Oreochromis niloticus: one gene and its partner. The protein of the gene in region 2 purifies or fractionates together with the protein of the main gene of each other region. This does not show direct contact. Links are inferred from orthologs where the notes say so. Each region holds a gene or a part of one and is shown on either strand. Other genes may lie near its edges. The genes, in order: slc27a1a and pbxip1a.

Region 1 (16,354 bases), on a different chromosome or scaffold from region 2:
TATAAACAGGTACATACCCTGTAAAAAGTTTAACCTGACTACCCCTTTTTCCTACCCACATTAATGTAAGATTTTTACTCCACTCTATGTGCGGTGATGCTCAGAGTTTGTGAGGTTTTTACTGAAAATGTACAAAGATGCTATTAAAGGGAATAAATGCCCACACATCATGTTCTGGTGTGTTACTTATACAGTGTTTAAACATCATCTGTAACAGTACTCTCTCCATGTCGGAAGCCCCCTCACGCTCTTCCCTGCGATTGTGGTGCATCAAGGCTGAGTGATGCACACACTCCTATATCCATATATTAGTCATTCTCTGAAAAGTAGCTGTTTAAGTAAGGCACCCTGACTGCCCTGCTAAAGCCTCCAGATCATAAAGACATTCTTCCCTCGACTATAGCATTGTATAGCTCCTCATTCATGGCCTCGTAACGTGCACCTCTGGTGTTTAAAAAGTAGATCTTGTCATTCGTGAGTCGTGGGTCGAATCCCTCCCTCTGCAGCCTGGTTTTCTGGATTTTAAATGTACCTATACAGAAATATTGATACACACAGATTATAATTTGTTTTCATATATAGTCATCAGTGGTAGCATAAAACTAGAGAGGGCTACAGGAGCAGTTTACCAGTGGTGTCTACATGTGGGGAGATTCTCAGGAACACTGGGCGAGCATACGGAGGAAGAACTCGTTGGATATTCTGCAAGAAATTGCTGCAGTCAAAACTCCCCGTGGCATCTGCAATGGCAGCCATGCCTGCCTTACCTTCCACACCTGGAGTTAAGCATAGAAATAAATAGTTGTATTATTGAGTTCTTTCAAAATCACTAAACAATAAAAGGGGGAACTACATAGTCCAAATGCAATGCTAAAGGCAGTTAATTAAATTAACCATTACCTGGCACTGCCACACCATACACTGCAACATCAGTTTGACCCAGAAGATTGCTTAGTATACCCTCCACCTCAGTGGTGGAGACGTTTTCCCCTCGCCAGCGGAAGGTGTCCCCACTGCGATCCCGGAAGTACATGTAGCCCAGCTCATCCATCACTAACACGTCACCTGGGGTGGAGGTAAAGCAAAGTACCTGTGTGGTTTTTACAGCTATTAATCACTGACATGAGTTATTTAAACTTCCAAGTTTTGTTTGAATAACAATTCCCTTGAACACTTGAAAAACACAAGTTTAATGTAGCAAATTTTAAAAATGTGATGCGCAAGCTATGCAAGCATAAACATTGACAGACAGAAAAATGGGTGAAGCTCCCACTACATAGACAAATCAGCTGTAGCAAGCAGGATGTCACAGTAAAAGTTTATATATAAACTCTGACAACAAAACTTTGTGCAAGACATCATTATCATCTTGATCATATGGTGATTTGCTGATTTTGCCAAACAACAGGGAGAAATGACTCCTGGTGATCTGAATGATCTCAAATGCAACAGACACTGAACTTACTCCATTTCCTGCCAAGCCGACTGAACTGCAGTAGATTTCATGAATGTTTGTTTAGAAAAGATGAGACAATAATTTCTTTATAGGTGCATCAAACAAAAATGATTCCCAACCTGATAAATATGCAGAATCATTTTTCTTGAAGACATTGTGAGCGATCTTCTTCTTTGTAGCATCCTGGTTAGCATAGCCATCAAAACGCCTTAATGGGTCTTGTTGGTTGATGCGGCCTACCAGAAGGCCTGGTTCCCCTGCAAGGCATGGAGGACTATAATTTAGCACTCTAAGAAGACCAGCATAGGTCAAAGACTCCCAACCCTTAAAGTTGTAACTGCTGTATAGATGTTCAGTACCAGGGCGGCAAGGCACACAGAACCCACGGCTGTCCCGAACAAGTTCCATGGTGTCTTCATCAACCCTCACCAGACGGATGGGGTACACATTGGGAAGAATACGACTGTTGAATCCACAGGCTCCCACCTGGCAGGACAGAATTTGCTAAACTCTGATCCAATTAACATTGTAATAGTGAGGACATGCATGTAAAGTTACATGGTAGCTGCTGACCTTGCCATCCATGTTAGCAATGCTGCAGTTGCACTCAGTGGCCCCATAGAACTCGCCAATCTGCGCCACCCCAAAACGCTCCATGAAGGCTTCCCAAACACTGGGGCGCAATCCATTTCCCACAGCAAGCCGTACTTTGTGTTGCTTCTCAGCTGGCCGCACGGGTTGAGACAAGAGGTAGCGGCAGATTTCCCCAATATACTGCACCACCTACAAGCCGAGGGGGAAAAAAATAAATCTTATTGTTCAAAACCTCATGGTTTATGAATAACTTCAAAAAACTATTATAAATGCCATACTAATGAAATCAATAGGTGCTTACGGTACAGTTGTACTTAATACAATCTTCCCAGAAGCGGCTGGCAGAGAATTTTTTCTTCACTACAACAGTGAGGCCGTGGATCAGACACTGGCCAACTCCAATAATGTTTCCTGGAAAGAGAAGAAAGCTTGATTAAACCTAGAAGGTGAAACTGTAATCATTAAAAGCTGTAGACTAGCATCACATACCTGCTGAGTGATAGAGAGGCAGGCAGTCATAGACAATGTCATCAGAGCGCATGCGAAAGGCAAAATATCCAAAAGCAGCAATTCTGTAATAGCTGTCAAAGAAAACAGAGATTCCCAGATAAACATTAAATGTATTAACTTTGAAGAAAGGTGATTTTTTTTTTCTTTTGGTAGTGGTTCTTCAAGAAAACATACCGACTGTGAACCACAATGGCAGCTTTGGGCAGTCCTGTGGTCCCCGAGGTGTAAATATAAAATAGGCGGTCTGCAAAACAATAGAATATAGCATAAAAATGCACCCTGCAAAATTACATAGTGTTTCATTTACTGCTGGGATGGCATTTTGGAAACCAACGCATTAAAGAACTGAAAATGCAGACATCGTTTCTACTTTGCTTAATATTTCCCTTGGCAATTTCATCTCAACTGTTATGTAAGGTATATCTGAAGCTCACACCTTTAATACTGGCTTATATGTTAATTCATCTAAGACAGATTTACCACTGGGCTAGGAAATGGCTTATTAATATCCAGACTGGACAGTGCAAGCAAGTCACTCTTATCTGCTCCAGACAGCTGTCTAAGAAAAATGAATGCAACTGTCATAAAATGACTCACATTATTAGCCAAGTATTTTCCTTATCAGGCTTGAGATATATAATTACTGGAAAGCAATTTTAGTTTAGAAATAGCAGTGTGAGAAAAATGAATTACTATGGCGCATACACTTTAGGAATTCAGAATCAACCAAGAACCAAAGGTTAACAGCTACACACATTGTAAGGAAATTGTTTAAGAAGGTATCTGAAATAGAGTCACTCATTAACATACAGATTAAGTGTCAGAGTGAGAGCTGAGTTTAGTGAGATACTCACCATTCATTCCTTTAGGGGGAACACAAGGCGAAGGGGGATGTTTAGGTGCAGCAGCTAAAATAGGGTCCAGAGGTTGAGCAGCAAGACAGGCTAACTGTTCTGCACTGAGGTCTCCTGTACAAAATCGTACCACGGACTGGCTCATGGTGGAACTGATGTCCAATATAGCTGGCATTCAGGAAGAAACATAGTTAGATATAAAAAAATGGGATACAGGTCAGCTCAGTTCAGACTCTCTAGATCAGGGGTCTCAAACTCCAGGCCTCGAGGGCCGGTATCCTGCAGGTTTTAGATGTGTCCTTGATCCAACACAGCTGATTCAAATGACTAAATGACCTCCTCAACATTTCTTGAAGTTCTCCAGAGGCCTGGTAATGAACTAATCATTTGATTCAGGTGTGTTGACCCAGGGTGAGATCTAAAACCTGCAGGACACCGGCCCTTGAGGCCTGGAGTTCGAGACCCCTGATCTAGATTGTATGTGTGTGATCATAAAGTTGTCCAACACCATTAGATGATTTTAATTTACCTGGTGCTCTTCAAGGTCATAACCTTGGGTAGTAATTCACCACAATCTGCTATCTTTAGATCACTTCTGAACTCTTATGTTTCAACCACTTGGTCTTTTGGGATTCTCATTCGCCCTTTAACTTGAATTCCACTTTGGTAAAGGGGACAAAGTTGCAGGGAATCTAATCACATACTTGTGTTGGTACAGCCAAAAATTCCCGACATTTGCCAATTTGACACAGTTGGTGATGTTTTCTCTCTGTGCAAGTTTGAGATTCATGGGATCCACGGCACTTGTAAATGATCAGAATAGGACTTCCACTAAGCAATCTAAAAATAGCTCTGGAAACAAACTAAAGAGTTCAAGGTTGCACAACTGAAGGAGAGATCAGCCAAATTCATATCAGGTATTGTCTCTGGCTTTTAGAAGTTGTATTTAAACTGCGTTAACTAGCTTCACCAAGAATTTCATTGGCAGCGTGGAGGCCAACAACAGGTCCAACACGTCTTACATTTCATAGGCCCTGTCATTATTATTGTTTGTTTTACAGCAGGCTGAGGGTCGCAGATGCCAACAGAGTCAATAAACTGATACTGCCAATATTGCTGTGACGGAGCTGGACTCCCTTAGGCTGTTGTCAGAGAGGCGGATGTTGTCCAAGATAAGGACAATTCTGGACAATACCCTCCACCCACTCCATGAGTGCCCAGTCACAGGAGCACGTTCAGTGAGAGACCGAGATTACCTAAATGCACCACTGAACGACACAGGAAATCATTCCTGCCTGAGGCTCTCGCTCTATACAATTTCTCCATCTAATACACAGTACACAGTGCAATAGTTAAAGCCTTAATATTTGCATATGCTCTACAGTGACAATAACAAAATAAAGTTTTACAGTTTAAAGTTTAGAGTACAGTGTCACTCATATATTTAATCTCTGTAATATTCTGGATATTTATAATTGAGCTATTTCTTATACTTTGTAACTTTGTAATATTTTAGATTATTTAATTTAGTTCAGTCTGTTACTGTTCTTATTGTCTTGGAGCAACTGTAACCACATAATTTCCTTAGGAATTAATAACATATTCTAATACAAACTGAGTGTTAACAACGAGACACCACCTAAGATGACCATCTACTATACCGTTACAGATATCAAGCAAGGAATCTGTAGCTGAGACTAGTTGTATTGTGGGTGCAAACATAACACATGTCCCTTGCTGACAGTATAATACTGCAGCACATATTTATACAAACAGCTCCATTTATACAAAATTAAAACAAATACTTATTTCATGATCAGCTCTCTCTACGTCATCTCTACATTCTTACCATCAGCCAGCTCAGCTCCGAACACAATCGCCCGTGACTCTGATACCCCAATACAGTGCAGAAGAGGATCACAGCGGAGACTAAAGTTGATGAGTGCAGCTTCCACTCCAACTTTGGCCAAACCCAGCCAAAGGGCCACCTGTAATGGTCTACTCTCCATGAAAAGGGCCACAACATCTCCGGAGACCCATCCTTGACCTCTCGCCCAATGGGCGACTCCATTTGATATCTCATCCAGCTGGGTGAAGGTCCACATTTCTCCTGTGGCCTCATAGATGAGAGCTGGTTTATTCGGGTGGAGTTTCACTGTCTGGGCGAAAATGGAAGGAATATTGCTTCCATGGCGCATGTAGCGCCATAAGGCCATCTTCACTCTCATGAGCACATACAAGCCACTGGGGAGCGTGACAGGAAAAATCAGGTGTAAGCACAAAGATGTATACAGATAAACACGCATATGAGTCACAGCTTCATGTAGATGCCGTTAACTTACGTGAGGTCTCTCTTGGCCGTGCGTGCTGCAATGTAGAAGTATTTCCAGCTGGTTGTGCCTAGATAAACCCCAAGACCTGCTGCCAGACTCCAGGGCCAGGACACCCCGAAGAGCCGACACAGTCCCACGGACCCCAGAGAGGCTGAAACACTCGCTGCATTGTGCATTCTTGTCACAGTATGAAAAGGAGAAAGACGAAGCTTTTAGCAGAAAGAACTGGCTTAAGCTAAAGCCTACATCAGTTCCACTCTGGAGGCTTAAAGTACTACAGTTGCGGGTCAGTACACACGAGAAACTTTTACAGGTTGTAACTAACACATCGCATTACGCCACTGAACGGAATTTACGTTTTTACATGAAATTCGGCTCAAATTTAAGCATCGTATGTGAACAAGCGGCATTTAAACCATGAACCACTGTTTACGCACAAACTTTAAACGCATAACTTACCTACAGGTCAATTAGACAGAAGCACTGTCACCTTTCACCCGATAACCTCGCCGGTCGGCCCGCCTTATTATTTAGAAAACCAGCGGTATTTCAAATCGTCCTGCAGTTGTTTGTTGGGAGCGTCGAGAAAGTCCGCAATGAAGCGTTTTCAGGAAAATCCGTATTATTTTTTTTTCCAAGTCTTACCACACTTTTACTTCTTACAGCGCAGTTGTGCTCAAGTATTTATTAGTTTATTCAAAGTACATTTATAAATATGTCAAACATACGTTAGCGAGTCCAGTCACGTGTCCTCTACGAGCCTGCGAGTATAATTTGTGCCCGAGTGGCACAAATGTGAATGAGAACAGTTAAACTCCAGCTGAATGTGGCTATTTTCTGTACTCCATATTGAATAGAGTCGCTGGCACAGAAGCACCACCCACCACGGGCGTTAACCTCCTCCTGCAGGTCCGCTATTTGTTAAACTCGCTGCTTGTCAAGCTTTTCTCAATTTTGATTGGTCAAAACTAACACCGCCCCATTGGCCAATCTGCAAGTAGCTGCTATTGATGACAGAACCGGTACAGACTACTAAATGTTGTGAAATGTAGTTCAAGTCCTCCCCCATCTCTTATTCACTAACTGCTTCTGTAAATAAGCTATTGGTTTGTATATAAATAGAAAGTATCTATGTGCTCTATACAAAAAGTCCATGATTAATATAGTTAATGCAAACAGTGGAACTATGTTCTTGTCAGGGTCCATCTCTGTCCACAAACTCTGAAGAGCACTGTCTTCCTCAGTAAGATGTAAACCCAGGGGTCTAAGATCTGATTCCAGGAGGCTATACGTAAAGCCACATAGATGAGCTTTTGAGCTGATGTACTAGGGCTTTGCTTGAGCTGCATCAGAAGAATTTGGATCTACAATGTAGGAGAAAAATGAGAGAAAACAATTATGATGTGTTATTTATTCTTTGTCCCTTTTTATTAGTCAGATCTAATATTAAAATAAATCATATCTAAATTATTCCAGAAAAAAAGTCTTCAGAATAACAAAAGCAGCACTCACAAGGAAGGGGCTCCAACAGACACAGGAAACAACAGTGATGACTACCAGTTGCACCATTACCTCCACATCCAATGAAAAAAACAGCGAAGAAGATGATGTGCATGATTCACGACGACCAAAGTGGGTTGTGTGGTTTGTTTGACCATTGGGGGTCTTCATTCTGGCATGCACCAATGCAGCAACACTCATTGTGTTGCTGAACAGGGAAAGGGTGAGCGCAGTGAGGCCCAGACATGAGAAAATCAAAGCCAGGTAAGTGTCAGCTGCGAAACATGGAGAAGTAACTCTCAAAAAACACCAGGTGCATGGATATTGGATAGTATAAGTCCCCACTTTGAGTAAAGGCAGAATTGCCAGAACAAGTGCAAGAGAGGAAAGGAATAACACCACCCGTACCACATGAGCCACAGTAATCATAGTAACACGACAAAAGGGCTTAGTGATGGCCACACAGCGCTCCACTGCCATAGCACAACCGAACAGCAAGGGGCACAGGCCAAAAAACACCATATTTGTTCCAAAGACATCACATAGTTTCATAGTATACTGATGATTCATGTGGAGATACAGTGCAAAGGAACCTAGGATCACATGACCTCCCAGGTCAGCCAAAAGCAAAGCCACTGTTAGAAGTAGGAACGGTGCTTTCGACTGGCGGGAGAATCTACCACGAGACTTGGCCAGGATGCCCAGTGCAGCAAGGTTGGAAATGGTGCCAAATAACATTGTGAAGCAGGATATTGCTAAGCCTGAATTGCTCATGGGAGGTGGGACGCTACTATTCGGCTGGCCACATGTCTGATTCAGCTGGCAAGTTGTCATCATGTCCATTGATACCTACAAAAAAAATTATGAAAAAGTTTAAAAGAACATGCATTAGTTAAAGTCTACAATTTTTTAGCTAACGTCAACCTGTTTTGGCATCTAGATATCTCAAGTAAATCATAGACAACAACACATCAGAGAACAAACAAACAAAAACTCAGTAGATACATGCTTTACTGGGCAGCTCAAAGTAATAATAAGTGGTATGTTTCTGACACATGGGATTTAAAGAGCATTTAGAAGAGCATCTATTCCCTGGCAACAATGGAAAGCAGTAGATAAAACCCTACTTTTATTCCTAATGAATGATGTAGACTAATAATGCTTAAAACGTGACTCAGATAGGGTCATGCAACAGGCTTGGTTGAAGTACACGAGCAAATCTATAACAGAACGGCTGAAAAGTAAACAAAACAGAGTGCTGCAATGCCCCAGACCTCAACTCATCTAAGAGAGCTGTGCATAAATGAACTGAAGCAACACGGTAAAGGATAGTGGGGAAAACTCCAGTTAAACTGCACTTAAGCTTTTGATGTTATAGGCCTTAGATAATAGAGAAACATCAACTAGAGCTTTAATGAATATGAATAATCTCCTCTGGTCTGCTAATCAGTTATTTCAGTAAGTCTGAGATAATTACAGAGGAATTCAAGGGTAATACTCAGTAATAGGAAAGTGTCACTAGTGACCAAAGAAGGTTGTCATCTAACTATGACTGGATATAGTTCTTAAAAACAATCAAGACTAGGGATGGGTACCGGTGTCCGGTGCCATGATGGCACCGGTTCTGACATAAACGGTAGTAACCAGACCGAAAAGCAGCGCACATTTCGGTGCTTTATTTCGGTGCTCTTTTTTTTTTCTTGAGCCAATTCTAGCCAATCATTTTACGTTTCCGAGGAAAGTAGGCGGGCTCAGGTACGTACGTTCTTTTAGAGCAGAGCTACAGATTAAAAAAGGCGAAGCGGTCAAAAGTCTGGCTGTACTTCGCAGCAAAGTATGCAAACTCAGCAGCCTGCAACAAGTGCTTTAAGCTGATACTGTGATACTGTCAAAGGAGGTAACACCTCGAATCCGATGAAACACCTGGCGACGCATAGCGTTTTTTTTTAAAGCCGAGAAATGCGCCGTGTTTAGCTTGCTGCGAGACCTCACACCGAGCACATCTACTGCGGGTGTGGTGCCTGTTATCGGACCCGGAGTTAGCAACAACCCCCCAAAAACCCGAAGAGTAGAGTCCTGGCCCCTAGCCCTGCCAGTGTAGTAGAAATGATGATGGCAGCAGCAGCCGTTCTTCTCTGCGTGAGTAGCTTAATGTTGTTCGTGTATAATTCACATTGAGTAGGCTAACCACGTTATTACATTAATGCATGTAAGGTGAACTAGCAAACATCATCATAGCTACATGCGGCTGTCTTCTTGTTTGGTGGCAGATACTCCCTTCACCCTGGCCAAAAAGGCTAAAATGACCAAAGAAAAAGTGGAAAACAGTTAAACATGAGAGGTTTTTGGACCAATTTTGTGTTTTTTCCATTGTTTAAGCACTGCTTCCAGCCAAGAGTGATACCATATATGCCCTACAGCTGCAGAAAAGGCTTACATTGTTATTTTTTTTTTACAAAAAAACAGCTAAACATGAGAGGTTTTGTGTTCTCCATTCTTTAAGCACCGGTTTGAGCACCGTTTAAGCACCAGCACCGTTTCAAAAGTACCGGTTTGGCACCGGTATCGGATAAAACCTAAACGATACCCATCCCTAATCAAGACTTTCCTTCTCCTGTTTATTTCTTTTTTTTAGGTAAAAAAGAAATGTCTTGCCAAGATCTCCCCACAATCAGGTTTTGCTTAAATTATTTTAGTAGAGGGGAATGTATCTAAACATATGGTATTATTTCTATGTAGTAAATTGCCATTAACTTACCTTCAGACTGCTTTGGATGAACACTCAAAAGGAATGAAGGAAGATGAATGTGCCTCTTGATAACACAGACGCCTCATGTACCAAATCGCAGTATGATCACAGTTGCCTACGGTTATTTACTTTCATTCCCCTCCCCTAATTTTTTTTCTTGTCCTCTGAAAGCTCCTCTTCCTGCCTGGTCTACCTTTCTCTTTCTCTATCTGCAGACAGGTTTCTCTGCATACTATTCTTCCCCGTCTGAACATGTCCTTTAATCTACTCATAACAGATATTCATTTGGAACAGAGTAGAGCTCAAAAAATGGGTGTCAGCCCAAATGTTGAAATATAACCAGAGTTAGTCCTTACTAACATTTTCTTCCTCCAATTCCAACATTTATACACCAGGCAAAAATCATCAAAAGAGTTTGAAAGAGGAGATGATAATTAGATAGTTAGGAGATGCACCATCACATGCTAAACAACATCCTAACAGGTATCTCACATATTATAAATAATATTATTGAAAAGGTATTTTAGACATGTATTTAAACATTTTCTAAACAAGGAATTTGCAATGATAACTTAAACAGCATTATTCATAAACCTATGTGTAGACGTCAGAGTTGTTATCTGTGATCTTACGTAAACAGGAAGGAAGTGGAGACAGTCTCCCATTTCCTCTCTGAGTATAACTATTTCAGTCTTTGAAGTTGAACCCTCAGATGTAAGAAACATAAGGGGAAAGATGGAAAATGTCATTGAATGGAAGTGGAAGTTATTTTCTGTGAGCTCTTTAACAAAACTGTGTAGGATCATATTTACATCATTTTATTTCTGCTAAACGACTGAAGAAAAATAGATCTCTTTATCCTTCCACTGTTTTTATTTTCAAGATTAAATAAAATGAATGAAGTTGGAACTGTCAATACACAAAGGCCAAAAACATTACAGAGAATATGTATGTATTCAGTTTAAAGCTTCTAAAAATATAAAACAGAAAATAATTAAAATACAATTTTGACTAATTTAAAGAGATGTCAGAAAGTCCTTCTGTCAGAAATTGTGGATGACACAAAAAGCATTATTATGTTACCCTGTGTGGAGCTCTGCTTTATCTGTGTAATCTCTTCAAGCTTCTTTTGAAAAATAAATAAACAGAAATGAAATTGAAAGGAAATTGTTGTAACAAGCTTTGTGTTATATGTAAAGTCATGTTACCAAGAAAGTTGGGGCGTTTTGTACGCAACACACGCAGACACACGCAGACACACACACACACACACACACACACACACACACACACACACACAAAATTGTGTATTCTCTGTGTTGCATCAACAATTCTTTTAAAAGCACTGTAAGTGTTAAGGTGTTGAAGGGAAGAACTGCTGTAATAGTTTTTATCTTTATATAACTTTTTTAGTCTTTTCTTCCCCCTCTCACATTTTTTTGTGTCAATGTGTTCTTGGCACCAAATTAAAAATGATATTATTTTTTCACAAGCAATCAAGTTTAACAGTTTTTTTTGTTCCACATTCTTTTTGAAGAAACGTCATTTGGGCCTAAAAACAATCTTATATATGAAGTTTATCTTAAAGCTGTTTTTCTTTTGTGATTTAATCCCATCAAAGAAGCTATCTGTAGCTCATTAAGGACACTGCTGTAAAGCCTGTAGCAATAAAAGCACAATGTGACTGGAGTGGGTTACAATCCGATAAGATCGGTTAGAAATGCAGTATTTGTTGGCATGTGATTACCAGGGTAATAGGCAGGATCTCCAGCAGCTATCTCCATCTGGATGTCCAAATTAGCATGCTTAGTTGATAAAGCCGTGCTTCCTTTGGATATAACAGGCCCCTTATGTACAAGCAGGTCCACCTCTGAAACCAGACAGACTTTTCTGAACATGTATTGCTTATTTTTTAATATTGTATCAATAAAAGTCAAAGGCTGAATTCGACTTATCGAATGGTCACAAATTCAACTGATTTACCTCTATTTAACGTTTGTGAGTAGAAGATATATTAATCTCTGAAGTGGTAGTTAAGCGTCCTATGAATCTCAGAGCGTTTCCCACTAAGTCAAGAACATGTGAAACTTTCATTTTAGAATTGAGGACTGCTCTGGGCAAGAGGCCATCAGTCAAATTCAGTAATCTCTACAGGCACAGGAGAAGAGAGGGAGTCAGAAAATATTTAGTCCGTGACACAATTTTAAATAATTTATTTCTGTTTCTCAATAGATGAGAATGCAACAAGTTAAAGCTAAGCTAAAGAATCTCAGCTTTAATTCAAGCGACTCAACAAATAAATAAATAAACAAATTAATACATTATTATAATTATTCCTATTTTTCTACCCAGTCACCTTTACTAATGCCCTTTGTCTATTTATTAATTTATTAATTAAAGTCATAACAAATTAATCAGAAAGAAATTAGCCAGCGCGACACGAACAGTTTCCCAACATCCATCCATCTTAGGGTCAGCAGACTCTATCCTAGTATTTCCTTTTCATTCAGGTCCACTGATTTCTTACTGTCTCTGAGCTCCTGAGAGATTTATTTCAGATAATTCACAACTCCAGTTCAGTTTTTTTGCATCCTTACTGCCTCGAAATGGTTCCATTTCTGCAGTGGAAATGGGCATTATTAAGAACAAAAATATTATTGATCATTAAGCGGAAGAGAATGGATGGATGGATGGATGGATGGATGGATGGATGGATGGATGGATGGAGAATGGATGGATGGATTTTGAGATTAAAGTAGTAATTCTATTTTGAGAAAAACATCATAATGTGGAGATTACATTTGTTGTTTCAAGACAAACTGCCACAGCTGCTACCCTCTACAAAATGCCCCGTGTAGATGAACAAATTGATGAGCTGTCTCATTGTGTCTTGTGATACAACATACATCCTTTTTATTGAACTAGGGTGTAATCATCAATACCCTTGCATCTGTCCATTCCCAGCCATTTCACTACAAATCTGGCCAACTCTTCCAAGTTTGTGTGTACTTTTCTTTCTGACCATATGCAGCTGTCTGAAAATTAAGCTTCTACAATTTAATGTAATCAACCCCTATAGTAGTTTTCTAAATATTACCAATCTAATTATATTGTTATATAACAATGCCTAGAGACGATAAAAATTTTGCTGCATTATGTCATACTTAGCCCTCACCTTCCCATTGTTCCAGATTCCTAGACAACTTAAATCAGCCAGATTTTAGTCTGAAGCCAGCGTTGCAGAAACAGTAATAACTGCCTTGTGTGTTGATACGTGATGCATTGTGAACACAGACATTTCCTTTTTGAAATTTGTTAATGTCTAGATGAGCAGATAGAAGACATTTAAGAAGAACTGAGAAAAAAAAACTTAAGCAATCGCCTTCAACACAGAAGAGAAAAAGTTTGTTGCAAACACAGATTTCATTTATTCAATATTATTTCATAAAATCATGTTACAGATTATACATGTCTATATATTGGCATCTATAGCTATAGATAGATATTACATAAATTATATATTGGTGTGAAAATATAATATAAACAAATCATAGAAGCGCTCATTCAAAATGAGGATACTACATTTTTTATATTTCTTAATTTGTACATTATAAATGCTCTTTGCAACTGTATTACAGAAAAGAAAAAAAAACGAACCTGGTCAACCCGTTCAACCTTCACTGTTTATAATATTTGAAACACGGGACACCAGATGTGTTTCCTGAGTGAAGTTACTGTTAGTGGTCTTATCAGCAACACCATCAGCCTTCTTTTCTGGTGTGCTAGCATCATGTAGTGGTTATATTTCAATTTACTCAATTTCCGCTTCAGAAATGACCGGGGGAATTCTACAGAAATCAACAAGTACACAAAGTCCTCATCCCTCCACGTTTATAAGATTGCTTAAGAGATATTTATCCAGTACAAAAATTGAAATATACATGTCAGCAGTTTTTAGCTGGCAGGTGATATAAATATATATGCACACCCATATATATATATTACTGTCTAGCTCCTCAAAGTTGACACTCTCTTGTATCCTGGGCCTTCTTCGAAACCTGATGATGACAAAATGAAGAATATTCAAAAAGTGATCAAAAATGTCTTTCATTATAACGGGAGGATTTTATTCACTTCACATCTTGTGTCCTTCACAACAGCTTATCATCTTCAAACAAACAAAATGGTCAAATTTTAAAGGTGTTCAAAATGAAACTTCAGGAACAGTTTGTGGCAGTACCACTGCCAATCAAATGTTAATCTGTGCCATCAACTTCAGTAAATAACTGCTTACATGAGCTTTTCTGTCACTCTTCTTCCGAGGAGCACAAATTCTGGTCAAGGCGTGTTTGTACTCTTCCCTCACCTAAAATTAGGATATAAATGAAATTTTACCGAGAGGCAAAAACTTGTCATTTAGTTAAGCATGAATATTACTAACCTGCCTGGAAAACAGACAATACACGGTAAAGAGCATAACTCCTTCCAGGCTGCCAAAGATGGTGAGGTAAGCCATGGCTGTATGGTTTTCCTGAAACTGGAAAGAACCAAAGATCCAGGTGTTGCCCAATACAAATAGCTGAGCCAATGCACTAATGGTGAATGCCCTGCAGAAAACACGTTGCATGCAAGAATGAAAACCCAAATGTGGGCTACAGAAAATAGATGACCGATTGCAAAATAAGCCTTTGTTGGCTACGGACCAATCCAAAAACAAAATTCCAAAACCTAGATAAAAAATTCTAAAGCAATGTAAGAAATAATCTAAACAGCACAACCAAAACTAAACAGGATCATGATAGTGATTTTTATGCGCAGCTTATGGGTTATTGGTGACTTACTCGATTTTGTGCAGATCATCCAGGTCAGGGTTTACACTTGAGAACTTCTGTGCTAACTTCCATACAGTTATGAAAAAGAAGAAAATGTTTACCTGAAAAAACAAAAACAAACAAACAAACAAACAACAAAAAGCAACATTTATGTTTAAATCAGCTGTTTTTTACACGTCATTTAACTCTATAACCATTTCCCTAAATCAATTTCAACTTTACTTACAATGATGATTACACATGCAGGGCCAAAATAATTCCAAATAAATCCCTGGGTTACCCAACAACTGAAATGCAAATTAAGAGTTAATATGATAGGGATACAAGGATAAATTGATGATAAAATTTTAGGAATAGAGGAAACGTACTATCTCTCAGTACCATGTCCCTTGGAATTAGCTAAGGCAGAGATGGCAACAATAACAGCTGGAACTCCATAGGCAGCTGCCATCATGTGGAGGGTTTTAAAGTTGGTGTTCAAAACAAGCATTATCATCCTGAACAGCTGTACACTGTCCAGACACATCCATAAAAATGTGGCCAGATAGGAGAAATGCAGGATCCCTGTCACCACTGTGCAGCCATCCTAATGGAGAAGAGATGAGATGTTGCCCAACTAGACTTACTAAACTTCTGTTCTTTTCCTCATTTTGTCCCTTTACATCACAATTAAAGTTAAGTAAAAAAATCTGCATCTGCATTCATCTGAGCAGCAAACACTGTTAGTATTTACCTGGTTCTCAATATGAGAGATTCCTGCTAGAACGACAAGGTTTGCAATGAAGAGGCTGATGCAGAGATTCAGGTGGATGGTGGTTCTTGGACTTTTAATAGAGCGGATCATTGAGAATGTCAAGATGGAGATGAATAAGCAAATCAGTGAAAGGGACAGGAACACCCATATGATCAGATGAAACTCAAACTTCTCCTGTTGGGAAAGTAAATGAAAGTACATGTAAGGGGATTAAAGGTTTAACTACTAAATAGTCTGAGGTTTAAATGTTGCGGTTAATTAGTTTAAACCTCAATTTCATTGTGAGCCGTGAGTATAGCAAAGGTTCCCAGGTGGTTACAGGAACAGGAAGTATATTCCAGGCTTGACTCCGCCACACTGCAACCACGATCAGACCATGATCCTCCGTTCAACGAGGAATCCCAGAACACACAGATGTGGAATGTTTGATTTGCCTATAAAACAAATATATGTGTTTTTTTTGGCAAAAGTGATCACCACAATCTGAAACAACAAACAAGAGATAACGTCTACCTGTTCTTCTAGGTGGTACAAAGTTAGGTTAACTGGCGTTTTGAGGTGGCTTGTATTTCTGTTGCTGACAGTGACAGTCGCCACCTTGGAGTTTATCTTAAAGCTCTGGTTCTTTTGTGGTTTCATTCCATTAAAGAAGCCATCTGTAGAGTTTTCCAGGTTTGAGTAGCTCATCAAGGACACTGTTGTAAAGCCTGTAAGAATGAAAGGAGAGCATCATTAGAGTGGCTGATAATTTGATGAAATTGGTTAGAAATGC
Region 2 (15,778 bases):
GCGCTAGTTTTCTTTTTTTGTTACATCTCTAATTTTATTTAAGCTTTTGTCCTGCTTGTTGAAAAAAGATATTTTATCTCTCATCTAAAAGAAGATAGTCAATTTAAGTTTTAGAAAATAAATTTTGCAGGATTCAGAGAATATATCATAGCAGGATCTTCCACACTCTTTGATTTACAACCTCTTAAAATGAGGTTACGTGCTTGAAGCTATTTGCATACCATGGCTTTACTGTGGATTTCCAATCACACTGTTTTTGCCATCACTGATAATTTCATGTGAAGATATTTTGAAAGAATCTATTTCTACTGAGGAAAAAAAAAAAATCAAAGAAAAGTAGAATACACAGCCGTGTGTGTCTGGCTGGATTTGGGAATACTGTGCGAGTGCCTTTACATTTACTGAAACGCTTATGTAGGATAATCAAATACCTTCTTCATCGTCTCTCTCATCTTGCCTCACTGGCTCCGATGGCTTTGCGGGCTCATTTTTAACAGCCGCCTCCTCATCTGCCTCAGCTGAACCAACAGTCTCTGGTGCAGGACTTTCATCAGTAGGATGTTCTGTCACCAGGCTCTCGGGGACTGGGCTTTGTGACTCTGTGCTGTCTGGAACAAAGCTGATATCAGCTTCAACATGAGACGGGAGATCCGTGGCTGTAAGGGTCTCGGTGGGGATCTTAACCTCGGGTTCAGCACTGAAGACTTGACTCTCCCCAGGAGGACTCGCGGGAATCAGTCCAGCATCAGCAGGCTTCTGGAGCTCATGCTCTGCAGAGATCGGGATCTCAGTCATCTGAGGTGCAGAGCAGGACTCCTCGGACTCGACTGGGGGGACTTCAACAGCTGGAATATCCAGTGGAGCCCCCATGTCAATGTTGGTGACAAATGGCATGGCACCTAGGTGCTCATTGTCACTGGGAGAACTGGTTACAATGTCATGGATAACTGGAGGCTGACTCTCCAAATCCACATCTGGTGGGTCGAGAAGGCTGGGTGGGAGAGGGCTCATACGGGATGGACTAGAAGGGACAGGACCCTCACTGGACTCTGGAGAGGTCTCTTGACACACCTTATGACAAGGACAAAAATGTAACTGTCATTTTAATTAACCTTCAAATAACAGAGTGGTGGTTAAACTGTTAAATACTTCAGTGTTGACTGTTCCTGCACAAAATATTTTAAACATGTCTGCTAACGAGATGTTTGTTTAGAAATGTCATGAATGAATGAAAAAGAAACACCCTGTCTATGATGACTTCATTTGTTGCTCAAAGTGTTAACGAGTAACCGTTCACTTGCATGAATCTAAAAAGTAATTCTGTTTGTACAATTTGTTTATTAAACTTCTTTTTGCATAAAAATGATCACGAATATAACTTATGGCTGTTATTTTCCATTTTATTTTTTGATAAAGTTCTGCAACTTTTACATGTAATTGAGGTCATTTCCCTGCAAACAGCATCGTTTACAGTATTTCTCTTTCATTAAGTGATGCTGACCAGGATTACTTTGACAATTTTATTAACCCTTTAATTGATATTACATGAGCATGACAGTAAGACTGAAGCAGCTGTAAGTTTTTTTTAAGTCAACACGACATCTATCATTATGACATCTGTCATTTTCTGCTTTCAGTGTCTTGATGCAGGCAGGGATACAAAGTCATTATTAAAGATCAATTTTTTATGTGAGAATTTTGAGATTGCAAACTGTACTCTAGTCCTATTGTGTTTAACAGAATGATACATTATATTTTATAAATGTTGGTAGAAATAGTGAGTAATAGCTTTATGTAGATGAATAGAGATGAATCATTACTCTTATTCTACTTACAGGTTTTAAAATTAAAATGTTACATTTTTATTTATTAATTTTTCAGGCATCTGTAAAGTTCAGAAAAGAGCTTCGAGTGTTACTCCTAACAGGCTTTGAAGGGGTAAACATTTAAGATAGAAAGATGGTCATATGACTGTGGTTTTAAAATATGAGTGATGAAGTCATGCTACGTGTTCTTTACCAGGAAGAGAAGGTTAGATAACGCAGCTTAAGTTTTATGGTCAAACTGTGCAAAGTAAACAGTTAATTAGTCACTTCTAGACGTCTTCGGGCCTTCTTAATACATTAAACTCCTACTAATGTGCTGCTGGTGGAAGCTGATGAATGTTCATTTACATGTAAGTCGATCAAAGCTGTCAGCTGCATATTGGGGTAGATGCTGTGTGATTGTTGAGAGTATACAAAGCAACAGAAAGGTTGAGGAGTTAAGTCGTTGTTTAAATAGAGTATGGGCCAAATTCTGTGTGTAAATTTGCCCATGGATATTTTTGGTGCCCACTATAGACTGAAGCAGAAGAGAAAATTCACTGGTAGAAATATGAATAACACTGGATATTTATTTTTATTTTTATTGTGTAAATAGGAATTATTATAACCATCTGTTTCTTCAATTTGTTATGCTAATCAGATTTGTAGTGAAAGGTTATTACAGGTAACATTGTGATAACTATATAGCCAGCAGTTACTACTGGATTTTGGGTGGCAGTGCGTGTATGAATTATGTGCAGTCATATGAAAAAGACTACAGACAGATTACCTGTACTTACAGCAGAAACAGGTTCTACAGTTGTAGACCTGCTACATCAGAAGACCTGATTTAGGAGTTATTGAGACTCTGTACCAGTCCTTGGTAGTTTGAAGTCAAAAGAAACAAGCAGAGGTAAATATTTGAAGGAAATACTTACAAAAATAGTCAGAATACATGGAGTAGGCGTGAGTGTATAGTCCTGCTGGACTTATGCTCATGTTAGTGTGGAGGGCAATGGGAACGCAGACAAAATTGCAAAGTAAGAGTTGAAATTAGAGGCTAACATAATGAAAAGCTCTATTTGGAAATAGGGAGGCAAAGCTTAAGCTTTTTTAATATAATTCAGAGATCTTACATAAGCTTTATGAGACAGGGTGAGGACAAACGAGAAGAAGCTCTATTTCTCTTAAATGGAGGATTGGAAGATAAGATGCAGATAAAAAGATTTTAAAAATTCCTAAGGTTTAAGCTTGAAACTTTTTAGGTGAAATGTGACCATGTTATGAGAAGAAAGGCATGATATTTATTTATAGAGAGCTTGGGGTTTTAAATCATAGATCACTTCCAAAGACCTCCTCACACAAACAATTTGAATCCAGGAAGTGCTCCTACTTAAAATATTTTTGCAGATGTGTCCCCCCCCCCCCCTCTTAAATCTATCCTGATGTGCAAAAATACCCTGAGGTTACACACTGTGGTAAAGTAGGTGGAGCTGCACCTTCTGAGCAGCTACGAAACTCAGAAAAGAAGATGATATTCTGGCTTTCAGCTGTGATCTGTCAAACAGCAATACATTTGGCACAGTTGGTGATCTCAGTCTAAATATGATGTGATTGAATTTTTGTCTTCTTAATGAACTGCTGCGTAGTTACTAACCTGGTGGCCTTCTTCAGATAGTACAGTTTCTATGGGGATGCCAACTGGTTTGAACTCCACAGCAGCTCCTGAAATAACACCGACACAATGCAAAAACAAAGATGTAGAACACAAGAAAAAGTCACAGCTTTAGACACCAGGCAGATATGTTGACTTGTCAGTACCTGCCACCTCCTCGGAGAGACTGGGGACATCCCCCAGGCTCTCTGTGCCATCGTCCACGGGCCCGACATTCTCAATGGCAGCTTCCTGTTGAGTGAGAAGACCTAATGAGAACCGGCTGGTAAAAATTTACACCTGTAGCCATAACCTTGACATTTAGAGTAGCATTCACACTCACCAATGATTACAACTGGCACTGCTTACCAATTAATAATGAAGTCAGATTTTCCTGTAATGATCTTGAAATACTTGATAACAAAAGCTACAAATCACAGTCAAACTACTGTCTGATGAGCTTTTACACATTTTCCAACCCAAACTGACAAAACAATATCCATGCAGCTGTCGTGGGTTTTCTATCCTAACAAACGAGGCTGGGTAACAAGGCCAAGTCATGCTTGCACACTGAGCTGATACACAAAAAAAACTGTGAAGTTGAGTACTGCATGGGATACAAGTTGTTGGTATAAAAGCTGATGTAAAAGCCAGTTATATATAGTTCTGGAAGCAATTAAACAGTAATGACTTCAATAAAAAAATACATTTTACATTCAGTACTTCTGTTTTGAGTGCCACCTCTTAGCTGCTGTTAAACCTCAGTGTGGTCACTGTGAGTGGGAAGCCCGTTTCTGATATTTAATGATTAACAGAAATTTGTGGTTGAAACCACCGCAGCTTTTCTTTCATGACTCAAAAACCCTGCTCCTGCATATCACACCGACTGACTGCAGTTGCCTCTCTGCCACTGAGAATGACAACGTTTCCCAGGGAAGTGCAAGCACACGTGTGTCACTAAATCTGAGGTGCAACATACCAGAAAGACTCAGTTCAGTGTGACTACAATATTATCTTAGTTGGCACAGTGTATACTGGGATATTTGCGTTGCTATAAATACCTTGTGCTGGTCAGATAGCCAAGTGGCATAGAAAGCTATTCCACAGGGGTACATTATTGGATAAAGTATGAGAACTGCTAGAATAGTATAAATAAAACATAAATAAAAGGCAAAAGTGAAATAAATCCTATTTCCATCTGAACTGTGCACATTATCTGCCTGATGAGTCACAATTTGGCGCTCTGCAAACATTCACCAGGATGTCTCCCACTTTAAGCCGCTCTGGGCTGCAGGTTAGGACAAGACAAATTATAAATGAACCAGTATTCACGGAGCAGGATAATAATCATGGTGCTCCAAATGATACCCAGACTTTCCTTAGCTATGCTCATCTCGTCTTACCTCGGGGGAAAGGAGGGTCCAGCTGTTGGTGGAGGAGCCTGTGCTGCCTGTGCTGTTGCTGCTGTCAGACATCGCCCCCGTCAGGCTTAACTTGGCACAGCACACGGGACAGATTGAGCTTTAAAAATCCTGCATATGACGACAGAAACAACGTGTCTTCAGCGAGCACGCCTAATGCACACATGCGAGCCTCATTATCAACATGCAATAACCCGACTACAACGAGTTCAGGTGCATCAGGCGCAGTTGAGAACATTAAAAAAAATGCACAAACTCGATGAGCCGTGTGTGATTTTATGCAGCATTCGCATGCAATTTTGAAAACTACGGTAAAAGAGGGCAGAATCGCGCAGTTGTGGCACAGTTAAAACCTTGCAAACGCAAACGGGATAAAGAGCAGATTGTCGCTGATTCAAGTTATGTAACGGAGGCATCCATAATACACCGCTGCGCAGTGAAACAAAGGCTTCAGTCAGTGCAGAAAACAAGAATCTCCTGACTGCATTCATCGCTACTGCTATTTCCAGCCAGCCATTCATTCAGATCCATTCATCCAGTCAATCTGTGCAGCAGTTAAATGCCCAAAAATGGTCAAGCGCCCCCCCAAACTGCACGGGTACTTCATTGATCCAAGCGTGCAAATAAAGGTCAATACTCACTTATCGGCAACGCTAGCGCGCGCTAAAGTTCTGGTTTGCTCATATAAGAGGTAAATGCTGGGGGGCTGTGGTTGTTGTAGCAACCAAATTCAAGGTTCACTCATGATGGTAAACAAAGGATGGTTGGCTGAATATTCCCACTCCCACTCTTCCGCGTTCTCACTCAGGCCCAGCTGTTAAGCAGGCTGTCCCCGACACGAGCTCGGCTCCATCACCGCGAACGCGAAGAAGACGTTTATTTACCCCGCGTGCTCACACTTGAGTCGCTCGGCGTTTTCCACTTCAAAGCCCTTTGCTTTTGTTTTGTTTTGTTTTGTTTAGCACGAGCACAGCTCCTCTCCTCCTCTGAACTTGGGAACTTCGGGAATTCCAAGTAGCGTCACGTCGACCAACGTGTCTCACATCCAATGGGATTTCACCAAAGCCGCGGGAGCACCCGCCCCCGAATCAAGGCTGGACCAATCGGATAAAAGTGTCGCGTCAGGAAAGCGACGTGCATCCCAGCTTGATTGACGCACGCAGGTGAAAGTGGCAGGTGATGGTCGCGGCTCTTTCTCCTTGGTTTATAATAATACAAGTTCATGTGTGATCCCACAAGATACACACACATATATATATATATACACACACACACACACACACATATATATATATATATATATATATATACAGGAGCCACCAGTCGCTCACTGACACGTCTGCTGAACTATATTTGTACGGGACTTGCCAGAGTGGACAACCCCTTTCCCACTATTGCTCCAATGTGGGCATTCATTTCATCATCTCCTAACCCTTCTCCTCTAAAATTAGTCATTTAAGTGTTTTCTCTGGGATAAGCACTTTCCTTTTTACGCCTCTGTACTCCTAAAGCAAACAACAACATAAAAATGTCTTGTTGACAGCAGTGTGAAAGTTGATTTATTTTATTTGAGGTGTTGAAAGGTAAAGATTGGGCCTGCTCATGTTTACTGTGGTGGTCTATCCCCAGAGGTAAATGTACACATACAGTGGTGTGAAAAAGCATTTGCCCTCCTTCCTTCTTTTTTTTTTGTCACACTTACATGTTTCAGATCATCAAAAAATTAATATCAGAGAAAAATAACACTAGTAAATACAAAATGCTGTTTTTAAGGGATGATTTCAAATATTAAGGCAAAAAGTTATCCAAACCTACCTGGCCCTGTGTGATAAAGGAATTGCATTAATAACCAGTTATTAGGTTTAGGGAGCAATTCTTTATTTCACATAGGGCTGGGTTTGGATAGCTTTTTTCCCCTTAATATTTGAAGTCATCATTTAAATGCTGCATTTTTTATTTGTTCAGGTTATCTTTGTCTAATATTACAATTTGTTTGATGATTGGAAACATGTAAGTGTGACAAATAAGAGGGAAAAATCAGGAAATAGAGAAACACTTTTGCATAAAGATGGATCTCTTAGATTTTATTTATATTGTGCATACTGTAATGCATATTAGCAACAAAAGTAATCCCAGGACTCTTACATTGTAATGTAACAACCTCGCCTTACAATATTAAAGACAAAAAAACATTCATTTGTGCAAGCAAATGAGGACAGTGCATGGGGAGAGAAACCTTCATTACTAACAGGAAGAAATCTTGCACAGAACAAAGCTCGGGGAGGGTGGCCATCTGACAGTGGGGTGAGAAAAGAAGAGCACAAAGCTACTGCAAACAATATAACAATAAATACTCTGCAGGCTTGGGGGATAAGGGAACATTCATCTCAGGATGCAGAAAAACACAGAGAGGACAATGGACAAACTACGGGAAAGAGAGGGCACAAAGATAATAACGTGATGGTGGCATATATTAATAACTGGAAAGTGAAAGAGAGAAAAGCCGAGGATTGCTTAGTATAATGGGCAGCCAGGGTGTATAGCAGCATAAATAAGGGGTGGCTCAGGGTCACATGATCTGTCCCCGATGTGAGCTTGATTAAAAAGGAAAGTTTTAAGCCCCTAAGTAGGAGGGATTTAAGCCCAAGAATCCTCACAGAAGTACTGCAGGCCAAGCTAAAGTGAGCTAGAATAACTTGGTGGTCTCACGGTCTTTATAAGGGTTTCAGGGCAAAGGTCCGTTTAGAATTTATTTAGAAGTAAAAAGTTAAGAGATTCTAGATACACATGTAGGGTGTTTAAAATGCCCATAGGTGTGAAATGATAACATTAGACTATAAATTACAGGCTGGTTAACTAAAACTAATGCTGCTACATACATGAATAATCTCTGAGGTCTTTCTCTTTCTGGCAGCTCCATATTCAGTAACTTTGCCCAATATATCCACTATCCATCCTCTGATTATCTCCAAACCATCTCATCCTTGCCTCTCTAACCTTCATTCTCGATGCTATTCTTTCTTCACATATCAATCGTCTCCACCTGGACTTTCTTCACCTCTATCGTGCAAAGTCTATTGTTTTGGACGGTTGATCCCGAAATATGTAAAAGTCATCCATCTTTACTACCTGCAGACCTCCACCTCTCCAGGCTCTCTTCCACATGCTTCCAGCTATCACTACAGATCACAGTGTTATCTGTTTAATCATAAAAAAAATAAACTACTACTACTGCTACTACTACTACTACTAATAATAAAAAAATACGGAAGCTTGTATAAAATAAACTCTTATAAAAATAAAAACTAAGATACAATGAGAAAATGCATTCTGGAAACGAACTGAAGTGAAAACGGTTTGAAATGTTAAAAATTTAGAGCTAAAATAATAAGAAAAATAGACTGTTGCAGCACCTCGTTGACGTCACCTGTCTTTCAATTGAATAAAACAGTGTCAAAAACTATAATAGACTTAAAACTTTCTCACGATATCACCGCTAAAAACGATTATAAGCTCAGTCTGGGACTGGTTATGCAATCACACCAAAGCATGTCAGCACAGAACTGTGGTCGAACTTTGGACTGAAACTAGATGTTTGCTTTTTTGTTTTTTGTTTTTTTCCCAGATTTTTCCACCCTGATGACGAATTAGGAAATCAAAGAAGAAGTTACGTCAATGTCCTGCGACAGATAGACGTAACCAATAGCAGACGAGTTTTTCCGTCGTATTGACCAATAGGACGAGGCGAGGTCTATTTGAACGGTGAAAAGCGGGCTCGCACGCATTCGAGAGGGAAACAAAGAGAGAGCAAACAATTCGTCGCTGTCGGAAGCGAAATATCTGGAATAGTTGGCTTTTTTAAAACCTCTGGGAAAGTTTGTTAATTAGAAAAAACGAAACAAAAGGTAAGTTCTTAAACTTAACTATTCGTGTTGGGCATTGACAACAACGTATTTTGATTTTAAGACGATAAATACGCACGCATGTTTGTCTTAAAGTCTTGTCGACCTAGCTTGAACGGCTATAGCATAGCTACACTCATGTAGCCTTCCTTTGCTTCTTGCCTTTTTCTCTAATTGTGACCGTTGATGTTTCCCACAGGGTACCACCATGTCTCACAAACAGATCTACTACTCTGACAAATATGACGACGACAAATACGAGTACAGGTACGTAAGACATGCTTTTACGACATGCAGTTAAATTAAGTTTTATTAAGATGATTTTTTGCAGAAAATGTCTCCAACTCGTTACACGACACATCATGAGTATTTTTTTTAATGCCCAACACAGCTGCGTTGACAATGTAATACTACCTTTTCCCCCCCGCAGGCATGTAATGCTACCCAAAGAGCTTGCCAAGCGTGTTCCCAAAACCCATCTTATGTCGGAGACCGAGTGGAGAAACCTTGGTGTCCAACAGAGTCAAGGATGGGTGCATTACATGATTCACCAACCAGGTAATAACTGACAGCCCAGTTATGTCAGCGTCATGATTTTAAATATTGGTTTGGTAGTTTGTGCTTGCGGGTGGGTGTGTGGTGGTGTAGCTTGTTGATAATATTGAACTGAGACAAGTTGTAGTAGTTCATGGTGATCATTTTGCAGGAAAGGCCAACTCAAAATTAGACTAAAACCGCAGCTGATCACTTTCACTACTGTTTTTCTCACCCTGTGATATTACCTTTAACTAAATCTCTGAGAATGACCAGGTGGCAAAGTAGTGTATTGACCAATCGGTAGTCTAAAACAAGGAATTTTAATTTTACAGAAGAGAATAATTTAACATTTAAATAAACAAAGTAATTTAAAACTTAAGTTTTTGCATTTGAGGTGATGCAGATTAGAGGTCACTGCTACTGTATTTTGTGGCCCGGTGTGCCAGCCGGGCACGCCCTCTTGTTAATTAAGAGTTACAAGAGATGTGTTTGCCCCCCCAAAAACTCAAATTGCTGGTTTCCACAAGATAATGAGCCTTTCTTGTTGTTCCACCTCCAGAGCCGCACATCTTGCTGTTCCGACGCCCTCTGCCCAACCCAAAATCATAAAGGAGATTCTCTGGGTCCTTCAGGGACATCAGTCTACCATGTCGCAGATCAACTCATCACCATGCTCTAACTGCCATGTGGGCTGATTTTGCTGGACCTGGAGAAGGACTGCTGCATTTATGAACAGTGATTATGGAATGGATTGTGTTGAAGGAAAAAACTATGACCCACCTATTTGGGGAAAAGACTTCTGCATGTGTTAAGAGCAACACGACGTTTGCCAGAAACCTTCAATTCAGCTTAAACTGTCCTTTTTGACTTAACCTGTCCATCTTGTGAACATGCTTGGATTTTTCCAGCTTTTTAGAACAATTGCTGTAAGATGTGGGGAGTGAAACTTGATCAACCATTTGAGTTATTCTAAGTGCTTTCTGGGTCGAGCTCTAGCAGAATAGTTGGATCCTAAATTGAGTTGGACTTTGAAACCTTGATTTGTGGCTTCAAAGTCTCATGTTGCTGCTTGGTTAAAATGACACTGTAGACTGGCATTTAATGACATTTTGCCATATGCAGATGAGGGAAAGCCTGCATTTGAGTTGGATAGATGCTAATCTTGATCCAGTTTTCTCAAGCATGTATATTAGTTCTGGCTTAATGTCTGGGTCTATACCAATGAGCTGCTCAGTATTTATGAAACGTTTTGCCCTTTCTGAAATAAATGTAATCTTTTAAATCTTAGTGTGGACTTGTGTTTTGATAGTGGCGAAGTGGCTGGTTTACTGAAAATGCAGCATGAACCTGAATGTTGGTGGGGGGGAATCTTTACAACATGGAGTTTTGTGACATTTTCAGCTTGAGCAGAGTTGAATTCAATAAATCTATTTTGGTGCCAGTTTATGTGAGGAAACAAATCTGTATGAAGCACTTGATGGCTTTCCTTGAAATTCACAATTACTACAGGAAGAAGCAACAAGATATTTGGAACTCATAACTGTAAACCTACCAATTAACTGACTTTTGCACCATAGTATGCAAATCTTAATACTTGAACTCCATCAGATCCTGAAAAAACATCTCCATGAACAACTTATTGCATTGGTTGAAGCACTGAATGAGCGATGCATTTGATAAGGTTTTTACTGCAGAGGGAGTTTTGATGTTTCCCCAAAAGGCAAATAACCCATGCAAAATGATTGCAAAGAAACAGCAACTCTATCTTCTCCAAATATGTATATAATGTCGGTGACTTCCAGCTGACATCCACCTACACATCAACTGCAGGCTGATCAATCACACTTAATGTTGTGGAAGTTATCCCCCAGAGGCCCATTCTGAACCAGGTTAGCCTCTATAATCCTGATAAATTGACATGGTTCTGCTGTGTGGGCTAAAATAATCAGATAACATACTGATGCCTGTAGCATTAAAATTTCTTATTCATGATGCATATTACCTTGCCAATATTTGGTCTCATCTATAGTTAGTAGCAGTCATTACGCAAGGTGTGTGTGCGTGGGGTTTTTTTTTTTTTTTTTTTTTTTTTTTTAATGACATCTTTTCAGTTTGTATAGTTTGTCCCCTCCCCCCCCTTAAGCTTTGGACCCAAGACTGTGACTTAACATGCTGCTCAAATAAGTGCGAATTATAGCCGCTTTCAAATTGGCACATGTACAAAAGAAGCTTGCCCTTATTGCCTTACCTGTTGTACTGTAATGTGGCAAGCCCCACTAGATTAAAGTGTGATCTCACAAAATACACTTGTGTGCCAGACAGCTGACTTGTGACATTATGGTGCACAGTTGGTGTTCTTCCAGTGGCAGTCACACTGCATCTGTTGTCTGACACTGTGACTAGACTCTCATTTTTCTTATTAGTTGCTTATAAACCACCACCAGTTCCTGCCGTTTAATGTGCAGCATGTGTCTCATCTACGAGTAGCTTTCTCTGGGAGTGTTTTCCTGAACGTGCATGTTGTTACGATGGCGTACTTACATAAAGGGAGAGACGGGCACAATGTTTGCCACACATTTAGCAGTTATGCTCTGTGTAAAAGGTTAATGGATTATTGTTGTACTGGGGGTTTTAACCACAGGGATCAAAACCAGAAATGAGGCTGAATAATTCAGAGGACTTGTTTTGCGAGTTATTTATGAACCAAGTTTAGCTGCTTGAATTTTGAGACAAAAAAGCCTTGATAGGGCGAATGGTGTAAGACTTGCTTCACTAGAGCAAGAATTTTGTAGCTTCAAGATCTGAAGAGAGGCTTAAACCTGCATTGTTCCCAATGGCCTGCAGGGTTTTAAAAAAAATGTGAGAATGTAATAAAATTAATGAGGTGATGTCCCTTTGTTTTATTGATCTGTGACCTCAGTAAACACTTTCCTGAAATGTTTGTGGCGTAAATTGGTAGTTTAAAGTCTTATTTAATACAACATGGCGTTCATTTTATAAATTATGGCACCTGTTAGGGTCAAAAGGAAAATTGTGCTGCGTTCAGAAGTTGGATGTCAGTAGTAGCAGTGGGGAAAATGTAACAAGATAGAGCCTACTTGGTACTCTTTGTATGGTTTGGTGAGTCACAAATACATGATGGTGGAGGCACAGATTATATGTTCTACAGTTTTACTATTTTTTTTTATACACTCCTCCCCTCTTGGATAGGAAAGACGTGGTTGGTGTGGCTTCTCTGACTTTACGAGTAGGAAGTCGACTTGAAGGGACGTTCCAGCTCAAATTTGGGAAGTCAGGATGTCTGACTTTGTCTTTTAAATGGAACACATTTGAAATTGAAAGAATGGTATACTTTGCTACGTGACTAAAAAGTCACTAGCCCATGACAGTGGAGTATCCTTGAGTTTCTCTGCCCCTCATTTGTCATGTCCTGGTTTCAAAACAAGCAGACGGCAACAGCAAAAATACTGAGTTTGACACTTGACAGCAGAATTTTAATAGGTCCATTTGTCAAATAGCCTAACAAGTATTTTTTTTTGTCTCCCTTAATCTGATTATTTTTTGATCATTTGATCTCTAAAGTGTCAGATTCTGAGAAACTATAAACAGACTTTCAAAGACTAATCCTATAATGATGCTATCAAGAAACTGGAGAAATTTTAGCTTGCTTACTGCATCGCTGACTTAAAAAAAGTACATTTTTGTTTGACTAACAACTTTAGCTGTACTAACTCAGTAACAAACCTCAGGAGGGATGCTGCGTGAAGTTGAAAGAGGTCGCTAAGATAAAAGGTGAGAACACCTCAGTATCATGGAGGAAAGGTTAAAAATGAATTTTCCCTCTTTTATGTGAAAGAGTTCGGTTGAGTTTCCTACAACACTTGAGAGTATGTATGTCTATAAATCAGCAGTCCTGCAGTGTAATAAATCCTCAGATGGGTCAAGCAATAAAAAATGGTTAGGTTGTTTGAGTGTCAAACATGCAGCCTGAGGGCCTGGACCAACCAAAGGGTTCAATCTGGCCCACTGGATGGCTCAGAAAATGTCAGCATTGCAAAGGAGAAGTACCTAACAATGCAACAATATTCAGTTTTAGAGATTTCTCACTGACAAAGACATCTGGCATCCTATATGAAAATATGTAAGTAAATCACGGACTGAGCCAATGACAGATATTTACCACTAGTATTCTATTAAATTACACTTTTTCATATTTACCATAGAAATTGTTGGTCCATAACAACTATTTGTGTGTGTGTGTGTGTGTGTGTGTGTGTGAATTAACCGAACTTTTCAGGTTTTAATTCCAAGACAATGTCCAGGTGATTATTGTGGCAAACACTTGACGGTTGTTTTTAATATAGTACAGTGAGAAGAAATGCATCACACTTCATTTCTTTGTATTTTGCCAGGGGAAATGGGACATGAGATTTATTGAAACATGCAAACATACATGGAACTACAGTAAGGAATCTTCAGGAATACTTCTACAGGCTTCTGAGAGGACAATTAAAGCTCTTCCTTGGATATTGGCTGCCTTTTTTCTGCTCTCTGTCATGGTTATCCCACACTTCTTCAATAATGTTGAGCTCTTGGTTCTGGGAGGCCAGTCTATGACTGATAGTGTTCCAGTGTGTGTTTTTCTATCCAGGTGTGCCTTTACTACACTGGCTGTATCTTCGGAACCATTGTCATGCTGAAAAATGAAACTCCAGATAGCATTGCATGGTGGATACAAATCAGCACTTTTCTCTGTGCATAATGTTTTTGTCAATTTTAACAAGATCATGGACACTGCTGGAAGGAATGGAGCACTAAACCATGACAGAACCTCCATCATGTTCTAAAGATGCCCATAGACACTCACTGTTGTACCTCTCTCTTGACCTCTGCACATATTGAGAATGATTTTAACCAAAATTTGGATTTTGAATTCATCACTTCCTGAAACCTGCTTTTACTTATTCTCAGTTCATTTCTTATGTAATTTGGCATAGTTCAGCCAAACGTTTTCCCTAATTTCTTAAAGACATGACTTTCAGATACTATTCATCTCCTGTAGATTGTTTTGTAGGCCTGCCTCTTATCCTTTTTTCCTCCGCTTATCCGAAAGAAAGTTGCGTTTCACCAAAGTCTGGCTCATTGGAAGTAAAACGAGGGGTGACTCAAGACTTTTGGACAATACTGTAGGTTATTAGGCAACACTCTGATTCACTGGTGTGGTCCACTTAAGGTCAAATTGAGCTGCACAGGATAAAATATTGTGACACCCCTGGTTTTGGCAGTCAAAAATCGATCATTTCTGAGAACAAAGACATGTAAATAAAAGGTGTTTACCATCCGCACCAGATGTCTTAAGCTGAATGATTTTAGTCACAAAGTGATGGACTCATTCACAGAGAAACAAATGAAAAAGAACCCCCTCATCAAATACAGCATCGTGTCAAATGTTTCTGCAACCATCCACAAAATCATAGTTGCACACTTTGGACTGTGGGGGGCAGTGCAACACAGGTATAAGGCAGAGGGGCTCGTTTACATTAATTCAGCAGGTATCTTGCATATATTCTGCAATGAACACAGAAAATTAACACAAATGTCTGACTCAGTGTTATATTAGAATTAATCTGCATCTTATGTTTGCATGAATCACATTTTTAAAACCATATCTGAACTGTAGGCTTGTAGTGTCTCTGTGGTTAAAAGCAAACGTGTTAGTGTGCAGGTCCCCGATGCATGCAGACTAACAGTGGGTGAAAGCAGCTCATGGCAACAATCACACACTGTGGGTAGAAACTACACAACTTTGGAAGTCAGAGGTAATGGAGGAAAGAAAATGTTTCTTGAATTACAGCAAAATGTCTCACAGTTTCTGTGAAATGTTTTACAGGTAATAACTAGGATATGATGGCCAGCAATCTGTGCCTCCTGCTGAGATTCAGAGACGTGTAGTGGGCAGAATAAGATGTTTGACGCCTTAAGGTGGGAAAAAAAACCTTGACTCTGGGCCAGATATCTATGAATCATGCTGAAAATTGGTTCCTGTGGAATCTTAAAGGTAAATGGTAACCTACACTGTACTCTCAAAATAAAATGGTGAACCAGCTTATGAGGCCGACGACCTTTTTGCTGAAACTTGACCAGTCAGCACCTTATAATATTGTTATTATTACTAATATAACTGTGGTCATTTTTAGAGGAGGAGATTATTTCACCCTGACTTCAAGTCTAGGAAGGAAACACAGTGAATGCAAGCTGAAATTAGAGCTTCAAAACATCGATAATTTTCATTATTGAGTAAGCTTCAGATTCTCCTCACATATAATTCATGAATAATTTGGTTTAGGAAATGTCAACGAACACTTGTGTTCAGATTTTTCTGTTTCTCTGACTAGCCATCTTAAAACCCAAAGATGCTGTACAATGACGACAATCGTATGAAAAAAACAAACAAACATG

Evidence for each region.
Region 1: the proteins of pbxip1a (region 2) and slc27a1a purify together in Homo sapiens (co-immunoprecipitation; 3 studies listed by BioGRID and IntAct, with this or other methods). This does not show direct contact. The link is inferred for Oreochromis niloticus from reciprocal best matches to the Homo sapiens genes PBXIP1 and SLC27A1.

Annotation. Positions count from the first base shown.
Region 1 is NC_031969.2:23,175,543-23,191,896, reverse strand, and holds the start of slc27a1a (long-chain fatty acid transport protein 1a), read right to left. Parts: upstream 6,621-16,354; 5' UTR 6,476-6,620; exon of another isoform or gene 6,307-6,475; 5' UTR 6,207-6,306; intron 5,925-6,206; 5' UTR 5,924-5,924; coding exon 5,757-5,923; intron 5,659-5,756; coding exon 5,264-5,658; intron 3,583-5,263; coding exon 3,415-3,582; intron 2,805-3,414; coding exon 2,735-2,804; intron 2,632-2,734; coding exon 2,540-2,631; intron 2,462-2,539; coding exon 2,352-2,461; intron 2,240-2,351; coding exon 2,030-2,239; intron 1,943-2,029; coding exon 1,816-1,942; intron 1,714-1,815; coding exon 1,576-1,713; intron 1,066-1,575; coding exon 901-1,065; intron 777-900; coding exon 630-776; intron 533-629; coding exon 375-532; 3' UTR 1-374. Other genes in the region: ptger1c (prostaglandin E receptor 1c (subtype EP1)), read right to left, coding at 6,932-7,111, 7,260-8,090; CD97 antigen, read right to left, coding at 14,013-14,054, 14,291-14,362, 14,438-14,603, 14,838-14,929, 15,055-15,115, 15,197-15,414, 15,562-15,756, 15,852-16,016 and 1 more. UniProt on the Homo sapiens protein: Mediates the import of long-chain fatty acids (LCFA) into the cell by facilitating their transport at the plasma membrane.
Region 2 is NC_031985.2:17,387,355-17,403,132, reverse strand, and holds the start of pbxip1a (pre-B-cell leukemia transcription factor-interacting protein 1), read right to left. Parts: upstream 5,994-15,778; 5' UTR 5,778-5,993; exon of another isoform or gene 5,522-5,777; intron 4,992-5,521; 5' UTR 4,935-4,991; coding exon 4,863-4,934; intron 3,712-4,862; coding exon 3,627-3,711; intron 3,531-3,626; coding exon 3,463-3,530; intron 1,072-3,462; coding exon 432-1,071; intron 1-431. Other genes in the region: cks1b (cyclin-dependent kinases regulatory subunit 1), read left to right, coding at 8,991-9,049, 9,213-9,340, 9,879-9,928. UniProt on the Homo sapiens protein: Regulator of pre-B-cell leukemia transcription factors (BPXs) function. Inhibits the binding of PBX1-HOX complex to DNA and blocks the transcriptional activity of E2A-PBX1.